3 linked regions of the Rattus norvegicus genome follow. The protein of the gene in region 2 purifies or fractionates together with the protein of the main gene of each other region. This does not show direct contact. Links are inferred from orthologs where the notes say so. Each region holds a gene or a part of one and is shown on either strand. Other genes may lie near its edges. The genes, in order: Cbx1, Chaf1a and Asf1b.

What was found.
Region 1: the proteins of Chaf1a (region 2) and Cbx1 purify together in Homo sapiens (affinity purification with mass spectrometry; 4 studies listed by BioGRID and IntAct, with this or other methods). This does not show direct contact. The link is inferred for Rattus norvegicus from reciprocal best matches to the Homo sapiens genes CHAF1A and CBX1.
Region 3: the proteins of Chaf1a (region 2) and Asf1b purify together in Homo sapiens (co-immunoprecipitation; 7 studies listed by BioGRID and IntAct, counting the BioPlex papers as one, with this or other methods). This does not show direct contact. The link is inferred for Rattus norvegicus from reciprocal best matches to the Homo sapiens genes CHAF1A and ASF1B.

The regions. Positions count from the first base shown.
Region 1 is NC_086028.1:82,280,139-82,283,784, forward strand, and holds part of Cbx1 (chromobox protein homolog 1), read left to right. Parts: intron 1-491; coding exon 492-669; intron 670-1,557; coding exon of another isoform or gene 1,558-1,581; coding exon 1,582-1,676; intron 1,677-3,646. UniProt on the Homo sapiens protein: Component of heterochromatin. Recognizes and binds histone H3 tails methylated at 'Lys-9', leading to epigenetic repression. Interaction with lamin B receptor (LBR) can contribute to the association of the heterochromatin with the inner nuclear membrane.
Region 2 is NC_086027.1:981,604-985,249, reverse strand, and holds part of Chaf1a (chromatin assembly factor 1 subunit A), read right to left. Parts: intron 2,818-3,646; coding exon 2,591-2,817; intron 2,359-2,590; coding exon 2,190-2,358; intron 2,105-2,189; coding exon 2,024-2,104; intron 1,595-2,023; coding exon 1,502-1,594; intron 966-1,501; coding exon 710-965; intron 1-709. UniProt on the Homo sapiens protein: Acts as a component of the histone chaperone complex chromatin assembly factor 1 (CAF-1), which assembles histone octamers onto DNA during replication and repair.
Region 3 is NC_086037.1:41,097,459-41,101,656, forward strand, and holds the start of Asf1b (histone chaperone ASF1B), read right to left. Parts: upstream 2,895-4,198; 5' UTR 2,731-2,894; coding exon 2,622-2,730; intron 1,759-2,621; exon of another isoform or gene 1,626-1,758; intron 1-1,625. UniProt on the Homo sapiens protein: Histone chaperone that facilitates histone deposition and histone exchange and removal during nucleosome assembly and disassembly. Cooperates with chromatin assembly factor 1 (CAF-1) to promote replication-dependent chromatin assembly.

The sequences.
Region 1 (3,646 bases), on a different chromosome or scaffold from region 2:
TTTGGTCACTATGAGAAATCCTATGACATGCTTACTAGCAGTTCTGTGGTAGGTTTGCCTACCTTGTTTCAGTCCTGACCTCCACATCTCATAGTCTACTGAAGAAGGACCTACACGCAGACTATTATATGACTGAATTTCTTGTTTTGTTTATTGGGGTGGGGAGGTGCCATGTAAGTCCTGGGATGGAACTCAGGTCTTCAGCCTTGGCCAATAGCTCCTTCTCCCATTTAAATGTCTTACTGGCCTAAGACAGTGGTTTCTGAGGACCTCTTTATAAAGGACAGTCTACTTTTGCAAAGTAGTCTTTTCTTGAAGAACGAACGCAAGTTTCTAAGCCTTTGGTCTCTACCTTCCCCTACTAGGAATGGTCTTCATCTTGAATGAAAGTCTAGTTATTGGTTATTAACTCTTCCAAGACTAGCTCTTTTCCCGGTATAAAAATACTGATCGGAATGGAAAGTCTAACTTGCTGTGCTTGCTGGTTTCAGTGAGGACAACACTTGGGAGCCAGAAGAGAATCTGGATTGCCCTGACCTTATTGCTGAGTTTCTACAGTCCCAGAAGACAGCTCATGAGACGGATAAATCAGACGGAGGCAAGCGCAAAGCTGATTCTGATTCTGAAGATAAAGGAGAGGAAAGCAAACCAAAGAAGAAGAAAGAAGAGGTAAGGCTAGAACCAGGGCTCGTCACCAGCCAGAGGCCGGGAATCCTAGTTTGGTTCTACCTCCTCTCCTGTCCTCACCTTCACTTCCTTTTCCTTTTTAATTTTATTTTCATTCATTCATTCACTTATTTATGAAAAGGTCTTGCATAGCCGCCTAGGCTGGCCTATAATTCAGTGTATATCCCAGGCCTGCCTTAAACTAGTGGCAATCCTCCTTTCTTAGCCTTCTAAGTTTTGAGACAACAGGTCTGACTGTTGAGATCACTGGTGTGAGCTACCATGCAGGACTTTGTTCCTTTGAATCTCAGAAGTCATGTCCTCTCTGTCTCTTCAGAAATAAGCTAATGTTTTAAAGGGATTTGAGGGTTAACCCTGTATATACCTGTAATCGTGGCATTCAGGAAGAAGAGGGAGACAAGATCGGGGAAGAGGCCTGGGTTGTAGAGACCTTATGTCAACAAAACATAACAAAGTGAAAAAGGATTTGAGACTTCCTCTTAGGAGGTGATCTTACTTTTTATCCATGGTGCAGAAATAATAACATGTAACAGTTATTGGAGACTTAGAGTGTAACTGGATACATTTCCTGTCAATAGATAGTTTTTTTGGTGTTTTGATCATAAAATATTTAAGGTAGTCTATCCTGGTCTACAGTGTGAGTTCCAGGACAGCCAGGACTACACACAGAAAAACTGTTTTGTCTCAGTGTCTTAAGTAACTTACCTTTGTGAAGCTTGGGGTGTATATCTTGTTCATGCTGGGAGGACCTCATGTGCTTCAGACTTCTGACACATGGTGTGGGTAACAGAGGAGTCCCTGAGTAAATGTTGGCTTACATTTCTTAAAGATAAATAACTCCATTCAGGATATAGTTCTATGTCAATAAAGGCTCTACCCATCTGGTTTTTACAGTCAGAAAAGCCACGAGGCTTTGCCCGGGGTCTGGAGCCAGAGCGGATTATTGGAGCTACTGACTCCAGTGGAGAGCTCATGTTCCTGATGAAATGGTGAGTCTCCCAGTGGCTCTGTGTGGTTGTTTTTTTCCTTCTCCCTATCTGTTCTATGCCAGAGGAAAAGAGCTGGACCTTCGAAATTCCAGTCGCCCAGGTGTGAAATCTTTAAGATGACATAGTCCTTCGATAGTGACACTCGGCCTGACTACCAACCTGGACTCATGAGTTACAGGTAGGGGCCCTTAGGATTTTCAGATTTTCACCTTTTTTTTTTTTTTTTGTTTTGGTTTTTTTTTTTTTTTTTTGGTTAGGTGGGAGAGGCTATGGAGAGGAATCACATTTCAGTTCTGTTACGTAAAGAAAAAATTTCTGAAATGTGGTTGAATCACCCTCCTCCTTCTCCACCTCCTTAGTAAAGATCAGGCTGGCCCCATAAACAATATTCTGTTCATGTTTGAGGGTTAGAAAAGAATTTATAGAATTTATTTTGAAGATTCCAAATTTACAGACGGAGCCAGCAGGGGTCAGCAAGGCCTCGTGACTGTTTACTGTTCCTGAGCATAATGTGAGGCTGTTTCTTTCTACTGTGTAGACACTCACCCCGTCTGTTAGTGCTGTTGAGTGTCGTCTGCTGAGCATGCTTGTGCTTGCTGTGCTCTAACCTGCTGGCGGATGGTGGGAGGTTTCTAAGACTAGCGTTCAGCGCAGTCCACTAGGGGATGGGGAACTTTGATCTGCCTTACATTTGCTGTCCATTGCTGACCAGAGCATAGTTACGGAGCACTCAGCGACAGTACTTTCCAACAGTTTGATGAACAGGCGTTCAAGTCAGCACAAGTAATCCTCTTTGTTTTTTGTTTTGAGACAGTTTTACTCTAGCCTAGGCTTGCTTTGAACTCAATCTTCCTGCCCCAAACTCTGTGCTGAGATCACAGGGAACTGTCACCATTCTGGATTAGGAAGAGTAAGTGTTAAGCCATTACCAGTTAAAATAGGATTCTCAAGGCTTTGTCCTTTGATTGGTCTAGAAATTTCACTGAAATTGATATCTGTGGTAGTTTTTTCCTACATGATGCCCGAAAAGGTTTAATTAACTTCAGTACAGGTGAAGGCCTGAAGACACAGGTCACAATTAACTATTACCTATTTTCTTCCTGTGTGTGCCCTCAGTATTTATTGAATCTGACCCTCATTTAGCTTACTTCCTGTAACTTATAGGAGGAAAGAAAAACTGAGTAATAGGATGTATTATGTAGTCTAGCTAGTACACACTTGCCCTGCATATATAACAAGTGTAAGTTAAAGACGTATCTTCTTAGTATGTAGGGCTGCATCCTTGGGCAGGTGCGATTCTAGACACAGAATCCAGCACTTAGATAAAACAGAAATATCACCAGTTGAAGGCAGCCTGGCCTAGAGTGCCATGAAGTCCTAAGTCATAACCCATGTCATTTTAGCAGTAGAGACAACTTGGAATATAGACTAAGACTTTGCCTCAACAAAACAGAAAGACAAAGAGGGAGGGAGGTGGGAAAGAGCATAGGGGATTGCATTCTAATTGTGGCAGACTTACTACCGTATTTAAAGGTTAAGATTTGGTTGTTGGGGACTGGAAAAATGGCTCAACGGTTAAGAACACTACCTACTCTTCCAGAGGTCCTGAGTTAATCCCAGCAACCACATGGTGGCTCACAACCATCTATATTAGGATCTAATGTCCTCTTCTGACATGTAGGTACACATGCAGATAGAGCACTCATATACACAAAATCAAATTTTTAAATTAAAAAAAAGTTAGCTGTTGAGCTGGGGGTGTGACTCAGATGGAAAGGGTTTGATCCCTAGCCCTGTAAAATAACAAAACAAACCCAAACCTTCATGATAAAGATGTGGTTACTGATAGAGGTCTTGCCTAGCATGTACAAGGCTCATGGTTTGAACTTCAGCGCCCACTCCCTCACCCTCAAAAGATTGAGTGTTGATTGTAAAACTTTACCCAAGTTTTTAAAAGTCACACATGGCTA
Region 2 (3,646 bases):
AGATGAAGCCATGAGAGGGCCCCATCCATCCTCACTGTTGCCAAGGAAGGTTGGCAAGGCACACTTCAAAGAAAGCTACTTGGCATCGGTTGGCTAAGAAGCCACACGCCTACTTCCCAGTGGCCCTGGGCCATGCCCGTGGTCAGCTGTGTGTGCCCTCATGTTCCTCCTAAGCAGTCGCTGCTCACTCTGAGCCACCAGTGTCCCCAGGTTTAGGACAGGGAGGGAGTGGCATTGCACTCTGGTCCAGGTCTCAAAACTGACTATATCATTCTGCTGTGGGTCCTACTAAAATTTCCAAGGGAGCCATGCCTAGGGGCTTATACCTGGAAGTCAAGCTCTTAGGAGCTGGAAGCAAAAAAATCACCATGAGTTCAAGAAAAGTGCAAGCCATCTGGTAACCAAGACCTGTCTTGTGTCACAATGACACTGACTCAAAAAAACCAAAACCAAAACCAAAACCAAACCAACAACAACAAAACCCAAAAAGTCAAGGGTAGGATAGCAAGACTGGGGTATGGCTGAGTGGTAAGCACTTGGCAGGTTCATGTACAACCTGAGTTTGTACCCAGCACCCAAGGCCCTGTCAGTTTTACATGCAGACAAGCTGCATGTGGACGGATACCCACACACAGGCTCTGCATACTTGTGACCTCATCAAGGACACCCTGATAGGAGCTGTTCCCGGACACTCCCGTACCCTACTTACTATGCTGGTCCCTCTTTTCCCTCCTGGAGGCCCTGGGCTCTGGCTCATCAGGGGATGTCACATCCAGCAGGCATGCAGTGAACTGCTGCAGCAGCTTCAAGTCGGAACCTGTGCAGTTGGCTGCCTCTGCCGCCCAAACACATCCCACCTGCACAGGCTGCAGCACGCGAAAGCGCTTGCTCTTGGCTAGGAGCTCATCCCACTCCTTGGCCTTCAGCTTCTGGCGTACTTTGTGGTTCTCTGGATCCGCACACTCCTGGCAGGATATGGAACAGACCCTTGTTTAATGCCCACGCTCCCTGGCACCGTGGCATGAGCTACAGAGGATGTGGCAGTGAAGGACAACTCTGAGAAGTCAGTTCACATCTTTAATCATATGATAAGGCAGGATATTTCAGTGGTTTTGCTTTGTCCAGCCTCACAGCCTCTTGACCTGGTTAATAGGCGACCAAATCCCCAACCCCAGAAACACCCCGATCAATGTGGCTTCCAGCAGGGCCTGAGCTGCCCAACATCATGGTCAGACAGTCTGACCTCAGTCATCCTATGCAGGTTCCCTAAACCTGCAACTAGGAGCTTGGGACCTACGGATACCACTCAAGCTCTCCACAGCCCCTTATGGGAGAGCTCACAGGGGCACAGGACCTTCTGGAACTGTGGTGGTTTGTTAGAACTCTAGGGGAAATCTACAGACCATGCAGCAGAGAAAGCCCATGCCTGCTCACCCAGAGCCTAAATCAAAGCAGCTGATCACCTCAACACCCTATAATCAGTTCAGAATGGAGCCCTCACCTCAGTTACGCCTTCATCTTCAGACAGGTACCCATGGGGCACAAAGAACCCATCGTCCTCATCTTCATCTTCCCCCACATCGTCATCTTCATCCTTGAAGAGAAAGACAAGAGCTTACAGCACACAGATATCAGAGTTGAAGGCCAGTCCAGTCCCACATATAAACACATACATCCATGCAGATGCTAAGGGGGCTACAGAGCCTGCCTAGTGCCCAACATTGGCTCAGGATGTCCCCTAGCTTAGCCTCCGCGTCACAGTAAATCTGTGTGCATCTACACTGGTGTCAGCAGCTGGGGAGCAAGGCAGAAACAGTACATGTGGGCAGAGGAAGCAGGGACTAGTAGGACTCAGTGTGGCTCCAACAGCCATGTTGCCTGGGGGCGCCGGGATGGCAAGCAGTCACTAGGCTAAGCAGGAGCAAAACAACCGGGTCAACAGCCCACCCCATATAAGAGTGTACGATGGCTTCTCCTGCAGTTGCTGTAGTTGCTGCTATTCATACTCAATGGGTTTACTTACCCCCTCACTGTGGGACAAAGACTCCCCAGGCTCCTCCTCTTCCCACTCATCGTCACTGTCTACCTCATAGTCTAAAAGCTTCTGGAGAGAGAATAAGGCATGAGCATCATGGTGAAACAGCACAGAACAGCCCACCCCCATGAGGAACCCCAATCCCAAGGCTCACTTTGTCCTGGACCCAGGGGTTACGGGGGCGGATGACTGCTGTCTTCTTATTCCATGTCCCCCAGTATGCTGGCCGGTGGTTCTCTGAGAACTGCAGGAGCTTCATTCGGCCAAACTTCTTCCTTTCAGGCACACCATCCACCTTGCTGCTCTCCACGATGACCACATCCCTGGTAATCAGACCATACTGTGTTCATGGCTGGCTGCACATGACCTGTCTGTTCAGAACTACTCAGGCCTGTTCCTCCTGCTGCACCCTGGGTGTGCAGGAAGGTGTGCCCCAGAGCCCCAGAACGTGTAAAGAGAGACACTCTGGGAGATGGTGACTCTAGGACTCAGCAGCATAGGGCAGCATGGGGCTCCATGCCAGACTCTTCTATGGTCTGGTGTGCCAGCTCTCACCTGTTCATGATGTCTGTGTCATGGCCACAGACCTGGGTGGGCCCAGATCTCAGGGGCAGTCGGCCCTTTAGGTCACTGAGGAAGGAGCTTGCCACGTTCTGCTGGTGTAGGAGCCGGTCCAGCTGATCGCACAGATCTTGATCCAAGGTAGCCCGGCACCGTGGAGCCAACACCATGTGTTCTTTGATTTCAAAGGGGGCAAACTTACCACAGGAGCCAGCCAGGGTCTGCAATAGGAAGAACTTAATGCACTGCCAGTAGGTGAGAAGCCATGCTAGCTCAGGTGCACTGCTGCCTGGTGGCCAAAGGGAGCTGCGTGGAAGCTGGAAGACTCCAGAGTCTTCCTTCTTCGGAGTGATAGGAATGCATTCCAAACAAAGCCACTTGAGAACCACCTCCACCTTGATAGCTTTAACCTTATTTATGGAGACCCAGCCTTATGTATAGCCTGGGTCAGCCTCAAACTCAGAAAATCTAAGCCTGCTGAGATGACAGGCATGGGCTGACACAGTTGTCTTCCAGATTTTTATTTTTTCCTTTTTTACAGTTTATTTACTTAGGGACTGGAAAGATGGCTCAGTAGTTAAGAAGCAATGCTGCTCTTCCAGAGGACACAGGCAAAACAGTCATACCAATAAAATCAAAAATCTTATAGAAAAGAGGAATACCTCCATTCATTTTGTTATGTGTATGTGTTGTGCCTCTTGGTCCCCACATTTTCAGAAATGTTTGTCAAACTCACTGAGCTCTGGAGTGAATTGAATGGTTAGTGAATTGACTGGGATGGGTGAAACAAGGGACAAGGAACAGCTCAGGCCCCAGGGACAGCATGTGGCAGAGTTCAGAGCCAGTTCCTTTGTTCTGGGTGAAAACACAATAAAGAGTGCCCAACAGGGATTGTGTCCAACCATATGCCCTGTCGGCTGGGCCACTCATCCCACCATTGGCCGTGTATTCTCCAGTTGTTCTCTCTGACAGCTATGTCAGTGTGCACTAGGGCTGCACTTTGTATCCAGCCAGGCTGCTTGGCTGGTGCTCTCTCTAGTGGCCACACCA
Region 3 (4,198 bases), on a different chromosome or scaffold from region 2:
ATATACAAGTAAATGTTTTCTTCCTTTTTTAGGACTGAAGGAAAGCAAAGGAATCTGGGAGCTGGCTAGAGGTCTGGGCAGATAGTGTTTCCCATGAAAACCTAAATTCAGGGTGCTGGAGAGAAGTTCAGGGTTAGAATCTAGTATTGATCTTAAAGACCCAGGTTTGATTCCCAACACCCATGTCAGGAGTCTCAAACCAGCTAAAGAGGATCAGATGTCTCTGCCTTCCAGAGGCTCCCATGCATATGCCACCTCCAACATAGACACAAAAATTAAAAGAGAAGGAACGCACATGTGGTGGTGCACACCTTTTTAATCCCAGCACTGGGAAGGCAGAGACAAACAGATCTTTGACTTCAAGGCCAGCCTTGTCTACAGAGTAAGCTCTAGGCCAGCAGAACTATATAGAAACCTTGTTTCAAAAAACAAAAGGAGAAAACATCATTACTTAGGAGGATAAAATGGTGGATCCCTGGCTTACTAGACAGGTCAACTAGCAATATTGGAGCTCCAGATTTTATAGAGACACTTTCTAAAATAGGCAGGACAAGATAGAGACAGCCCATGGGTTAAGAGCATTGGCTGCTCTCCTAGAGGCCAGGTAAGATTCCTAACACCTACATGGAAACTCACAAGCCTGTAACTCCAGTTCTAGGACACCCAACTCCTTCTTTTGAACTATGTGGGTATCAGGCACTCAAGTGGTGGCATAAATACATGTAGGCAAAACATACACACACAAAAATAAATAAAATAAGGTGGAAAGCAATTGAGAAAGACCACTTGAAGTTTCTCTGGCCCACACCCACAGACAAATTAAAACTAAAAGATAAAATTTAAAAACAATCTGGACTCAGAACTCTGAGACAAACTTCAATGATAATGCTTCTACTATCTGGCTGACTTGGAAAAAATCACCCTGCTCCCATTAAAACATGACCAGCAGGCTAACTCTAGCCTTGTTCTGATTCTATAAATAAAGAATAAAAGTATCACTAGGCAATGACCATGCAACCATTTTTAAATGCAAGGAGCACAGACAGGCTGATTGAAACCTGATCTCTCAGCATCTGGGAACTGTGAATCCTTTAATCTATCAGCTCCTTATATCTCCTCTTGGCTTCCAAATAACTCTTATTCCACATCGTTACTCTACCTTTTATTTATTTATTTACACCCTGCCTTGTTCCAGCAAGGGTTTAACCCAGCTTATTCTATAGTGAGTCATAAGTAGATTCGTTTAAACTTAAAAAAGGGTAAGAAACTAGGGAGAGGCCAAGCCGCTGGCCCACTCCAAGCACACACATCCAAGTGAACAGGAGTGGCTGGCCCTGCCTGAATACCACTCAACAGCCACCAAGGGGCACTGGTTGCCACAACCTAGCCTCTCAGAGCTCTACCTCCTCAGCTGCTACATCCTTTTCAGCACTCAAAATGGTCTCCTGTTGTCCTATGTATGAGCGTCCCCAGAGGAGAGATAGGGGCTTCTGACTCCAGTCTTTGTAGGTTTGGTCTCCCCAGCTCCTGGTCTGGGTGAATGTACTCAGGTGAGGGTGCCACAGCCAGGCAGCCCTCTTCCAGTTTCTGAGATTTCTACTGGCTTACCTGAAAGCTGGACTTACCTCAAAGTGACCTCACATTTTACATGTTCACAGATTTATTTGAAAGGTCTTTTGCTCTTGATGGCTCTTGTCCTCTTATCTATGAGATGAGAGCCATGTCCACCTTTATGTCCCACAGATGAATTAAGTCATTCTGTGAAAGATCCACAAAAGCCAGTGTCCTCCCAGCTGATGAAAGTTCCATCCCATCCCTGTTTGGCCAGTCCACCCACTCCCCAGATGAGATCAGCCCATCAGAAGGGATGAGGGATTCCTTGCACTGAGTTAGCTGGAAGCCAGTAGAAATATCAGAAACTGGAAGAGGGCTGCCTGGCTGTGGCACCCTCACCTGAGTACATTCACCCAGACCAGGAGCTGGGGAGACCAAACCTACAAAGACTGGAGTCAGAAGCCCCTATCTCTCCTCTGGGGACGCTCATACATAGGATTTGGGACTAACCTAAAGAAAGAAGCCCTGGTATAGACAACACCATGCCGTTACAGTTGGCAAACAGGAGTTACTGGGGACAAATCTGGAGTTGTCTGGGGTGTTGCTGGGAGTCATGGGATGGAGGAGGTCTTGTCATGGGCAGACAGGGTAACAAAAGAGGAGGGTCTGGTTAGTTTGCAGGAAAAGGTATGCACAAGGAAAATGAGGGGACGGTACTGGAGGTTGGGTTCCCATAGGATAGATAGGTTTCCTATGGGGAAGGCATAAAACCGGGGTCTAGCCATAGGGAAGGCTTGGCTGATGGGTCTCCATGAACCCAATGGAGGCTGACACCTCTACAAGGAAAACGTGCAAGGACAAGCGGTGCAAGACGAGGGGTGACGAGGCCTCCACGAGACAATGCGGACTGTATAGAGTCGTATCCACCGAGGGGTCCGAGTTGGGCCATGGAGGCGTATTACTAATGGGAGATTCAGTTGGCCCAGGGGAGAGGTTCCCAGGGAGACTGGGAGTGGCACAAACGAGGGCAGGAGGGTTCGGGGTCCCCTGCACAGGCCCAGTCTCACCGTCAGACAGGGCCTCACTGCATTCGAAGCTGATCTCAAACCGGAAGGGGCTGTGGAAAGGGCTCGGGTTCTCCAGCACAGCCACATTCAGCACCGACACCTTGGCCATCACCTCGCCTGGGAGCCGCAGGTACTGTGGAGCCTTCTTCCGTGACTTGCTACAGAGAAGAAGGGGGTCGGCAGGACAGAAAGCTCGCACTGATTCCCAACTCTTCTTTCCGAAGAGCTTCTCCCGTAAGCGCGCTCCCTTCAAATAGCCGGCTCCGCCCTCCAGCCAATCGCCGCTAAGGATCTATGACGGCGCGAGCCGTCAGCCAATCCTGGGGCGTCTTCCGGCGCGCGCCTGGACCAACAGACCAATCAGAGACGCTCCCTCTTCACGGTCTACAGGAGGCGGAACGATAATCTCTTAGCTTCGTAAAGGTCTATCGGGAACCAATCCCTAGAGTCTCCGACTCGAATAGCTTGTACGGGTGGGCGGAGTTAGAGCGCGGAACTTCTCTTGTCCAATCCCAAGGGTTACCGCACCAGCATGACCCTCCCCTCGTTCCGCTTTTCCGGTAGACGCACCTCACAGAGAGCAGCGCCACCAACGGCCGAACGGTGGCGCGCGACTCTCACTAAAACGCGCAGAGGGGGACGGTACTTGCACTCCCAGTGATTGACTGTCGATAGAGGGCGGGGCATAGTGGGTTTCTGAGATGTGATTGGCTAATGTGGTGGGCATGAGGAAAGCTGGGCTGGAGCGCTGTGGAAATCGCACGCCCTCACAGTGAAAAGCATTAAGGAGGAAAAAGTGACTTAGGCCTTTAGGCGGCTGTCAGCAGGTGAGCGTTTTCGGGGACTACCCTGAGGGGTTCCTGCCTTTGTAAAAGACCGTTGAGAACCTTTGGATCACCCCGAGACAAAATGGCGCAGCGATGACGATGATGATGATGATGATGATGATGGTGGTGGTGGTGGTGGTGTGTGTGTGTGTGTGTGTGTCTGGGCTTGGTGGCACAGGCCTTTTATCCCAGCACACAGAAAGCAGAGGCAGGTAGGCCTTTGAGGCCCCTTCTAGGACAGCCAGGGCTACACAGAGACACCCTGTCTCCAATCACATTTATTTACTAGTTATTTTATAAGTACACTGCAGGTGTCTTCAGACACACCAGAAGAGGGCATCAGATCCCCCTTACAGATGGTTGTGAGCCACCATGTGGTTGCTGGGAATTGAATTCAGGACCTCTGGAAGAGCAGTCAGTGCTCTTTTTTTTTTTTTTTTTTTTTTTCTTTTTCTTTTTCATTTATTATATATGAGTACACTGTAGCTGTCTTCAGATACACCAGAAGAGGGAATCGGATCTCTTTACAGATGGTTGTGAGCCACCATGTGGTTGCTGGGAATTGAACTCATGACCTCTGGAAGAGCAGTCGGGTGCTCTTAACCACTGAGCCATCTCTCCAGCTGCCCCCCCATCACATTTTTTAAAGATTAAAAACAAAAAGAAGAGGTAGATGCATGCCATTAATCTCAGGACTCAAGAGATAGGCAGACTTTCGTGGGTCAGCCTGGTCTACACAGTGAGTTTGGA